Sus scrofa: one gene and its partners. Each later gene encodes a partner of the first gene's protein in a complex. Links are inferred from orthologs where the notes say so. Each region holds a gene or a part of one and is shown on either strand. Other genes may lie near its edges.

The links. The genes of interacting proteins can lie anywhere in the genome.
Region 2: AKAP13 (region 1) and MAPK14 share a complex: the UniProt entries of both Homo sapiens proteins name them as parts of the signaling complex. The link is inferred for Sus scrofa from reciprocal best matches to the Homo sapiens genes AKAP13 and MAPK14.
Region 3: AKAP13 (region 1) and MAP3K20 share a complex: the UniProt entries of both Homo sapiens proteins name them as parts of the signaling complex. The link is inferred for Sus scrofa from reciprocal best matches to the Homo sapiens genes AKAP13 and MAP3K20.

The regions. Positions count from the first base shown.
Region 1 is NC_010449.5:88,193,275-88,197,140, forward strand, and holds part of AKAP13 (A-kinase anchor protein 13), read left to right. Parts: intron 1-576; coding exon 577-712; intron 713-1,792; coding exon 1,793-1,905; intron 1,906-2,494; coding exon 2,495-2,647; intron 2,648-3,231; coding exon 3,232-3,482; intron 3,483-3,866. UniProt on the Homo sapiens protein: Scaffold protein that plays an important role in assembling signaling complexes downstream of several types of G protein-coupled receptors.
Region 2 is NC_010449.5:31,850,146-31,854,011, forward strand, and holds part of MAPK14 (mitogen-activated protein kinase 14), read left to right. Parts: intron 1-766; coding exon 767-846; intron 847-3,135; coding exon 3,136-3,214; intron 3,215-3,866. UniProt on the Homo sapiens protein: Serine/threonine kinase which acts as an essential component of the MAP kinase signal transduction pathway.
Region 3 is NC_010457.5:79,373,261-79,376,380, forward strand, and holds part of MAP3K20 (mitogen-activated protein kinase kinase kinase MLT), read left to right. Parts: intron 1-1,286; exon of another isoform or gene 1,287-1,449; intron 1,450-2,513; coding exon 2,514-3,120. UniProt on the Homo sapiens protein: Stress-activated component of a protein kinase signal transduction cascade that promotes programmed cell death in response to various stress, such as ribosomal stress, osmotic shock and ionizing radiation.

The sequences.
Region 1 (3,866 bases):
TACCCGCAGCATATGGAGGTTCCCAGGCTACGGGTGAAATCAGAGCTGTAGGTGCTGGCCTGCGCCACAGCCACAGCAATGCAGGATCTGAGCCTTGTCTGCAACCTACACCACAGCTCACGGCAACACCGGATCCTTAACCCACTGAGCAAGGCCAGGGATCAAACCCGCAATCTCATGGGTCCTAGTTGGATTCATTTCCAGTACGCCACAATGGGAGCTCATAATTTCTTAACTGACCGTCTTTTGATACTCAGTTTGTATAATTTCCAATCTTTTGCTTTTACCAAACTTTGCATTGAATAACTTTGGACATTTGTCATTTCAAACATAAACAACTTAAGCTTGGCAGAGTAAACATATCCTAAAATGGAATTGCTGGATCAAAAGGGATAGGCATTTAACGATTTCAGTAGCTTTTGCCAGATTGTCCTCAGGAGAGTTTTCGTACCCATTACACTCCCAGGGTACGTCTCTTTTAGAGCAGTTTGCTTCTCTTTGGCGTTTGTCTGGGGAGTTGGCACTGGTGGGCACGGATAGCTGAATCTTCACTTGATGTCCTCTCTTCCTTTACAGCCTCCCAGCCCAAGGAGCGCCCTCGGTCTGCCGTCCTTCTGGCCGACGAAACCACTTCAGCCCCTGTGTTTGCTAATAGACGGTCCCAGCAGAGTGTCTCGCTCTCCAAGAGTGTCTCCATACAGAACATTGCTGGGTATGCGGGGATGTAAAGATAGCACAGTTGACATCTAGGTGACAAGAGCATAGTGATTATACTATGAAGAGATTTTTTTTTTAGAAAAAAAATGCATAACTTCATGAGGAGGTGCAGAGCTAAGCGATACAGATGGTGGAATGAGGGTTCCATTTTCATGCACCATCATCACCGTTTTGTAACAAAGATCCCCTATAAACATCATTTTCAGGCCAGTTGTCCCCCACTTTTTTGTTCATAATCAGCCCTGCTTTTAAAGAAACTACATTCTAGAAGGATGCTTTTTAGATCAAAGTTAAAAGTGGGAATAGGATAAAAGATGATTTAATTCTGAATTTTTAGTTGGCAACCATTTATATCTTAAGATGTCTCATTTTTCTGTTGGTTGGATGAACCTGGGCAGGAAGAGGGGCATAGTTTTGTTTTTTTTACTGTTTTCTGTCCTTAACTCCTAAGTCATGGGAATGACTGACGGGCTGGTATTACAGTAGTTTCCAGTCACTCATTTGCACTGAGTTCCTTTTGTGGTCCCTATAGAAGTTGCCGTGACCCCTGACTATTCAGGCCTCGGCTGTCTGTGGTTAGCACAGGGCTGATTATGATGTTGTTGGCTGTTTGGGGTAAGATGCCTGCCTTCCCATCAAGCAAAGAAGTCATCTCAAATGTAGGACTCAAAACATTTCTTGCAGCTCTCTTAACCTAAGCTGGAGGAAAATTCCCATCTGAAGGATGCAAATCTGCTTTTGGCTGTATTTCCTAACCTCTGTGCTGGCTAATGTTCCTTCCTCCTTTAAAAACAAACAAAAAAAAATTTCAGGTATTTTTATATTGTTTTTGTCTTTGTTTTGTAATTATCCAAAGGCCTTTTTTCAAAGTTATGTTATCAAAATTTGTTTATTATGACTTTTAAAAGTTGGCCTTAAATAAAATTTAGTTCTAAATGTTTCTGGCTTAGTTTTGTGTCATACCACAAACGTTTACTGGGTGCCTAATGTAAGGTCTTAAGATCCTCATTTAAGGCCACAAACCATGGCTCATCAGAATGTATTTGACAGTGTTTCTTTTTTTTTTTGTCCCCAGAGTTGGCAATGATGAGAACATATCAAACACCTGGAAATTCCTGTCTCATTCAACAGACTCACTAAATAAAATCAGCAAGGTCAATGAGTCAACAGAGTCCCTTACTGATGAGGGTAAGAGGAAGTTATGGCCTGTATCACATGCCTCTGAGACACGGTACCATTACCTAGAATGCAAGTGCTAATAGAATAATGAATGACTCCTGCCTCTTCCTTACTCATGTAAAGATTCTCTAAATTGTCTGTAAAGAAGTGCCTTATAAAGAGTTGGTAAACCAGCTGTTAGATAGCTCTCCACTGAAGAATGTGTGTCGTTGATTTTAATGTGGTCAGACTCTGGTACAATTGCTTTTTCTTCACCTAGACTCTGGTACCCTTTGAGTTCTAGCTCTCAGCACAGTTGTAAGCCTGTTCAAACAAGTAAAGTCATCAGGACCCTTGCAGTTCCTACTTCACGATAGGAATCATGTCTTAATTGTGTTTGATTTATGTGCCATTTATGGTCCTTAACCAAAGTCTTGAATATAAAGTATGTCACGCCCAAACAGAAAATGGCATTCTTTTCTAATAGAATATTGGTTCATCCTTGTGTTAGTGCAGAGTGTTTGCATCTCATGAAATTATCACCCTGAGGAAAGTTCAGTATAGGTTTTTGAGAGATCACAGATCCAAAATTCTGATGTTGATCTTTTGGTATTTTGAGGAGTAGGGACAGACATGAACGAAGGACAACTAATGGGAGACTTTGAGATTGAGGCCAAACAGCTGGAAGCAGAGTCCTGGAGTCAAATTGTGGACAGCAAGTTTCTGAAACAGCAAAAGAAAGATGTGGTCAAACGGCAAGAAGTGATTTATGGTGAGACTTCATTTGTTCTGCTAGTATGTGATTTGCATTATTTGCATTGTTTATCAGGCGATTTATTGGGCTGTGGAAAGTTGATTTTCCAGTATGTAGCCTAAGATTTTCTTTTAAAACTTTGAGGTATAAAGACTTGATATTTTTTCTTTAATTTTATTGAACATCTTATTTAACATGAGTTCTCATTTATGCAACAGTCCTAGAAAAAGATCTCTTGTGACAGTACAGTTTACTTCCTCAGCTACAGTAGAAACTAGACTAAACAAGTCATTTCTGAGAAATAAGAACACAGTAAATTATGAAAGGTCTTGAATCCAAGGAAGACCACTTTGGAAACTGGCATTTAAGAGTGATAGAGTCCAAAATGCCTGTCAGAAAGTAGTGTGAAGTCCCATGAAAAATAGAGAAGTCAAATGAAAACACTTCAGGGAGGAGACAGCTGTTGATCCAGTTTTAAAGTTTAAATTGGGTTCTAAGTAGCCTTAGGACAAAATGGGGTTCCCAGTAGCAACAGACACACTCTGAAGGAGCATCCTCAAGGAAGAAAGCGTTCTGGACTGTAAGCTTTGTCCCTCCTCCAGAGCTGCTGCAGACAGAGTTCCACCACCTCCGCACACTCAAGATCATGAGCGACGTGTACAGCCGGGGCATGATGGCCGACCTGCTCTTCGAGCAGCAGATGGTGGAGAAGCTGTTCCCCTGTTTGGATGAGCTGATCAGTATCCACAGCCAGTTCTTCCAGAGACTCCTGGAGCGGAAAAAGGACTCTCTGGTGGATAAAAGTGAAAAGAACTTTCTCATCAAGAGGATTGGGGATGTGCTTGTGCACCAGGTGAGCAGTAGGTGGGATCTCGGGTACTTCTCTCACGCACTGGGGGGCCCCATAACTGCGCATTCACATCCCAGCTCTGCTGCTTAGGATCTCTGTAAGCTGAGGCAAGTTTTTCAGTCTCGCTAATCCTCAGTTCCCTTTTCTTTATTTAGGACAGTAGATTGTCTCTTTTAATGCTATTTTAAAAGTTAAAAGATAATGTATATATACAGCACCCAGCATGCAGGGTAGATACCCAGTATAAGTCCATTTTTCTTCCTCAGAGGCTGTACCAACATCAGAGATACTATATAGTTTAAGAAATCAAAATAGTCCCAACTTTTCCCTATTGCATCAAATCAAATGGAACTCATTTATCTAAAAGCCACCTGAGGAGTTCCCATT
Region 2 (3,866 bases), about 56 Mb from region 1:
GTTTGCATAGTGTTGACCAGCTTCCTTCCCACTGTTCGTGAGTGAAGTCAGTCTGTTCACCTGTTAAAGAGACTTGTGAGGAAATCACATGGCGTGCTGTAATACTGTCAGCAGCTTGTAACTTTGCCTTAGCTTCTAACTTTATTCCCATCTCCCCTTCACTGACCATTGTGTGTTTGTGGCATGTATTTTACATGTATCACTACTAATGTCTTTGAAACTTGGTGTTGCTTATCACCCCACACAGCCACCCTGGTCTTAGATTAGAAGGGGTGGTGTTTTGGAGAATCACCAGAACCTGTGACACAAAAATTTAACCTCTACCTTAAATGTATATCTCGGACATTTTATTTTGTCCAAAGTCAAGTCAGAATATTCTCCATCTATCTCAAAGTCATCTCCATTTAACCTACAAGCAAACAGGTTTTGGCCATTGGGACTTAAAAACAGTTCTCTGGCTGGCATCCTGGATCGAGGGGCAGTCTCTTTCCAGGGAGCCTAAATACTGAATGTCAAAGATGACGCTAAAACCAAAGGAAGTTTCTCTTTTCCACATGGCCCATCACTGGCTCTATGCCCACTAACCCTCATGCCATTCATGGAAGCATGCTTTAACACGCAGCCTCAGGCGCTGGCCTGGGGTGGGTGGAATGGGTGGGAGTAGGTTTTATCTTTGGGGGGCGGCTTTTTGGCCTTTTTAAAAACTTGAGTTGAAAATTATTTTTCACACTGGATGTTTAACAATGCCCTTGACTCGGCATCTAAGATATTAACCAGCTTCAGCAGATTATGCGTCTGACGGGAACTCCCCCAGCTTATCTCATTAACAGGATGCCAAGCCATGAGGTGAGAGCAAATAGACTATCCGAGGATATCTCATTGAGAAGGCCACTTTCTCACTTTATTGCCACTGGATAACCAGCACAGTTTTAATGTCACCGAATGCTTGCATGTGCCTTGAGGGCTACTAAGGCAGTAACTGCCTGTATTCTATTGCCCGATATTGACATTTGGGATAAAATGTCATCCAGTCCTTATGAATATAATTTGTAGGCTGGTACATGGAAAATGATGTTACTTTTATATTGGGGTTTTGTGAATTTAGTGCTCAGGAGGTTTGTGTTTTCCTAAGGTTCTGTGCCTGCAGTTAGGGTACGCTGCCATCTAAGGTTTTCAGCTGGAGGTGTATTAACTGAAGGTCATTAGTATGCTTTCCTGTTCATTCGTTTTTTTAATGACCAAAAGAAGAGTTCATTATTAAAAACAAAAACAGGAAACAAAAAATCTTGGAGTTCCCTTGTGGTACACTGTGTTAAGGATCCAGCGAGGTCACTGCAGCAGCTCGGGTTGCTCCTGTGGTGCAGGTTCAATCCCTGACCCAGTAACTTATGCATGTCAATGGCACAGCCAAAAGTAAATAGATAAACAAAATATCTAATGCTAATAAGTACTATATTTAAAAGAAAATATACAAATAATATAAAATAAATATGAACAGTTAGGGTTAAGTGCTTTTAAAAAAACAAACAAACAAAAAAAAACAAACGGTGCTGGAATTCCCTTTGTGGCTCAGTGGTTAATGAATCCAGCTAGGAACCATGAGGTTGCAGGTTCAATCCCTGACCTTGCTCAGTGGGTTAAAGATCTGGCGTTGCCGTGAGCTGTGGTATAGGTTGCAGACGCGGCTCAGATCCCGTATTGCTGTGGCCTCTGGTGTAGACCCCTTGCCTGGGAACCTCCATATGCCTCAGGAGCAGCCCTAGAAATGGCAAAAAGACAAACAACAAAAAAAAAAAAAAAAGAAAAAAAAGAAAAAACAGTGCTTAGCTACTTAATCTTTACTCTAGTTTTATCATCAGAGATGATTGAGCACTTCTTTCTACAGTGCCCTTAATCATACGGGGGATCATGTTGGCAACGCAGAGGCCCTTCTTAGCAGCTTTCTTTCTACTTCAGCTATATGCAAGTAGTCTTTATTTATCTTGTTAGAGGGAAGGCTGTTCTGTGAATGAGACGGGTCTCTCTTACCACTTACGTCTCTTGTCTGCACCCTCAAGTAGGAAGGGATTACAGGCATGTTGATACTCAACTCCTAAAGCTTTCTTTTCAAATCAGAAAGATTCTCAGCTGATTTTCAAAGTGGGCTTCCCCTGCTCCCTCTGCATGCAGTGACTAAGGAGGTGAAGCTAATAAGAGCTACAAGCTACCATGTATAAACTACAAGGATAGTTTATACAGCGCAGGAAATGTAGCCAATATTTTAAAAATAACTCTAAATGGAATATAATCTGTACAAATAATGAATCACTGTTATACCTGAAACTAATATTATGAATCAGCTGTGTCAATTTAAATTATATATAAATTTTTAAAAGAAGGTGAAGTTATTTTAGCAGCTAGAGCTTTTTCTAACCTTGTGTGTGTGTGTGTATACGTATGTACATAAATATATATACATACATACCCTTACTGTTGAGCTGTGTTAAAAAAGGAATTTTAGGAGTTCCATTGTGGCGCAGTGGTTAATGATCTGGCTTGTCTCTGTGGTGTTGCCAGTTCAGTCCCCAGCCTGGCACAGTTGGTTAAGGATCCAGCATTTCTGCAGCTGTGGCGTAGGTCACAAATACAGTTCAGATTTGATCCCTGGCCTGGGAACTTCCATAGGCCATGAGTGCGGCTGGAAGAGAAAAAAAAAAACCAGGAATTTTTAGAGAGATAGATTCAGAGAAGTTTTGTTTGTTTGTTTGTTTGTTTTTGCCTTTTCTAGGGCCGCCCTCGTGGCATATGGAGGTTCCCAGGCTAGGGGTCGAATCAGAGCTGTAGCCGCCAGCCTACGCCAGAGCCACAGCAATGCAGGATCCAAGCCGAGTCTACAACCTACACCCAGCTCATGGCAACACCAGATCCTTGACCCAGTGAGTGAGGCTAGGGATCGAACCTGTATCTTCCTGGATATTAGTCAGGTTTGCTTCCACTGAGCCACAATGGGGAACTCCGAAAGTCTTTAATGATTAGCAGACACATTCCTCAACACCGAAGCCAGTGGCCTTTGTCAGTTAACACTTGACAGGACCAGGACTCTGAGAGTGGTAGCAATACTGAACAAAGCCATTTTGAAAACCCTCTGTTTTGCAGGCAAGAAACTACATTCAATCTTTGACCCAGATGCCGAAGATGAACTTTGCAAATGTATTTATTGGTGCCAATCCCTTGGGTAAGTTGACTACATCCTCATCTCATGGATATTGGTTATGACATAAACTAGGGATTTGAAGAAGAGGGTTTCCTTTTGACCACATATAGTACCATTAATTAAACCTGGTAGGTGGTAAATAATGCCATCTGTTATCCATGTTTGTATTGTCAGGTTTTGTTTTGTTTTTAATCTCACGCCATGCTTATGTATTTATATGATCACAGAATTTGATGGGGAAATAGGCTGGTTCAGTGACAAAAGAGAAAGTCATGAAAATGTCAGGAGAAAAGGTTGAGGGACACAGACAGAAAAGGGTATGGAGGAAAGCCTGCAGCTCCTTCACTGCTGTCATCATTTTATGGTGTCCACACTGAGGATATAAACAACAGAAACACAAGGGTGTTTGGCAGACCCGCCCAGGAGCTCCCTGCAGTCCCTGCTCTGCCCACAGCTTCCCAGTGCTTTAGGTCCTGCTTCCCTTGTCCTCTTCTCCTTTTGCCCTTCAGAGACTTAACCAGTCTCTCTTCCTTGTGGAGGTAGTTTGCCACCCAAGACTGTAAGGAATGTCTCCATAGCATTCCTGCCACCATCACTTCCAGGATCTTTGGCAAAGGGGCAGGACAGTGGCAGCTGCAGGACGTGTACTGCCTTGGCTGATAAGAGGAGTTGC
Region 3 (3,120 bases), on another chromosome or scaffold:
ACCAGGTATTTTTAAATGCCCACCAGCCAGGGGGCCCTGGATCCTGGTAGTACTCTAAGCTCACCAACAGAATCTTTGACGGCTTGCTGGATCGGCCTTTCTTTGTCAACACAGTTGATTTAGTTATTTTCTTTCTCATTCTAAAGTCCTTACGGAGGAGAGATAAATTAAAAGTTTTGGGATTAACATATACACACTACTATGTATAAAATAGATGATCAACAAGGATCTACTATAGCACAGGGAACTCTACTCAATATTCTATAATAACCTATATGGGGAAAGAATCTAAAAAAGAATGGATGTGGTATAACTAAATCACTTTGCTGTACACCTGAAACTAACACAACATAGTAAATCAAGCATAGTGCAATCGAAAATAAAAATGAGGAAGTTCCCGTCAAGAACAGCAGGTTAAGGATCCAGCGTTGCTGCAGCTGTGGCACAGGTCACCACTGTGGTGCAGGTTTGATCTCTGGCTTGGAAACTTCCACATTCATTAGGTGCAGACAAAAAAAAAAAAAAAAAATTAAATTGAGAAAACAAGCAAACAAAAAAGTTCTTAAACCACAAACCACAAAACTTATTGTTTTCCATAACAAGAAGTCACAAGAGGTCCAGGGGTAGGTGGGCTCCAAGTGCAGTTAAGCTACTCAACCACGTTAAGGAGGAGACATGGACCTTCCCTTCTTTCCACTCTGCCATCCTCAAGATGTTGCCTTTGCCCTTGACCTTGCTCCTCTTATGTTCATAGTCATCACATACAGATACGATAATGCCCACAGGAAATAAGAGGTCAATCCCTTCCCCTGTTCTCATGTTTCCGAGTGAGAAAGACTTGCTTAGAACCCCCCTGCAGGCTATCTTTCAGGTGGCTTTGGCCAAAGCTGAGCACCTTGTCCATCACTATGTCTGGCTTGAACTAATCAAAGTCTGCCTTGGAAATCCTGTGAAATTAGATCATTATGATCATTATACAACTACAGATGTGATAAGTTCATTTGAGTAATTTAAATAAATAAATAAATAAATAGAATTTGGCCCAAAGCCTCAGAGTGAACTCATATATTAAAAAAAAAAGTCTGCCCTGGAGCCAGAATGTGGTCAGCTTCCCTGATGCACACAGCTCCGTGGAGGGGGTTGGACACTGAACAAAATCAGGGTTCTGTTGGAAGCTGAGAGTTCAGAGAGGTCAAGGTGAAGGAAAGAAGGTATGTGGTGACTGAATGAAACCTGTGAGGAGTGTCTGAACACAGGAGGTCACCTTATCTGGATGAGTCCCTCACCTGAGAGGCACGAGTCACCTGTGCAGAGCAGGGAGAGAGGCTGCTTGCTGGCAGAGGGAGGTGAGTGTGCTCTGATCCTCTCCAGAAGCTCCATCTGCACCAGCAGGGCCACAGTAGCTCAGGGAGGACACTGGGGGCCTCAAGCATGTGGGCAGCTCAGGACCTGGGAAAAACAAAGAAGATTCTAGGTGTAAGGAACTTGCTTATTCACTGAAATGGCTTACCAAATGGCTCTTGTTCCTTCACCATTTTCTTTAACCATAACGTCTTCCTATTTGCCATGAAGCTTCTTTTTTCATGCAGAAAACATTTCTCCTTCCTGAACCTCAGGAGCTTTTCTTTACTGGAGATACGAACCGCCTTTCTTCCAAACAATCTGTAGCTGTCTTGACCTTTAGAACCCAGTTTCTTTTATCTGCATTCAGGGTTCTCGAAGATGTAAAAGTACTGGTTGGCAAAAAGCCTTTTGTTTACTAAACATGCCCCTGCCATGCAAAGAGACCTCAACAGCAATTTCTAGACGTGACCACATGGCTACATGGGAAGAAGATGGGATTTAGTTGCTGAAGGACGTGGGATTATTAGCTGAATGTCTGTCTGTGGGTCCGGTTACCTGATCGCTCAAGGTTCAGGCTCCCCATTTATAGAATATTATCAGTATTTACCTGAGAAGGTTTTTGGAGGGTTAAATGAGAGACTGTAAGTAAAAACGCCTTTGAAATAGTGCCAAGCATATAGCATGAATTCAGTATGTGTAAATGCCCTTATTTTTTTTTAAAAAAGTATTTATAGGAGTTCCCGTCGTGGCGCAGTGGTTAACGAATCCGACTAGGAACCATGAGGTTGCGGGTTCGGTCCCTGCCCTTGCTCAGTGGGTTAAGGATCTGGCACTGCCGCTGTGAGCTGTGGTGTAGGTCGCAGATGCGGCTCGGATCCCGTGTTACTATGGCTCTGGTGTAGGCCAGTGGCTACAGCTCTGATTCGACCCCTAGCCTGGGAACCTCCATATGCTGCGGGAGCGGCCCAAAGAAATAGCAAAAAGACAAAAAAAAAAAAAAAAGTGTTTATAATAGTAAAGGAAATGTCCTTACACCTAGCTTAGAATTTCAATGAATGGTAACGCTTAGGGCTTCCCAAATAGGTTTGAATGATCCTGAGACAGGCTTATGAATGGGGCATGCAGCTTCACTATGGCTTGAAAGGTGCTTCTTTCCGTTTCTCCGGCAGGTGCCGACTGCCAGTGGTTAGACACTCTGAGGATGCGGCAGATTGCGTCCAACACGTCTTTACAGCGCTCCCAGAGCAATCCCATCCTGGGGTCACAATTCTTTCCCTACTTCCATGACCCGGACTCCTATGCTGCTGCTGTGAGGCGGACTCAGGTGCCCATTAAGTATCAACAGATAACACCTATAAACCAGTCCAGAAGCTCCTCTCCCACTCAGTACGCACTGACCAAACACTTCTCTTCTCTGCACCTCAACTCCAAGGACAGCAGCTTTTCCAGTCTGAATTCTAACTCTTTGGAGAGGGGGCGATATTCAGGTAGAAGCAGGAACAAATATGATCGGGGTAGCGTATCACTCAATTCTTCTCCCAGAGGAAGATACGGGGGGAAAAGTCAGCATTCCACGCCTTCAAGAGAAAGATATTCTGGAAAATTCTACAGGGTGTCTCAGTCAGCCCTCAACACTCACTCGTCGCCCGACCTCAAGAGGAGCCCCAATGACTCCCAGCAGCCCAGGACCATCCCGGGGATGCCCCTGCGCTTCGACACCGAGTCGAGAGCCAGTGAGGAGGAGAGCAAAGTCAGCGAAGGGGGCTGGACGCGGGT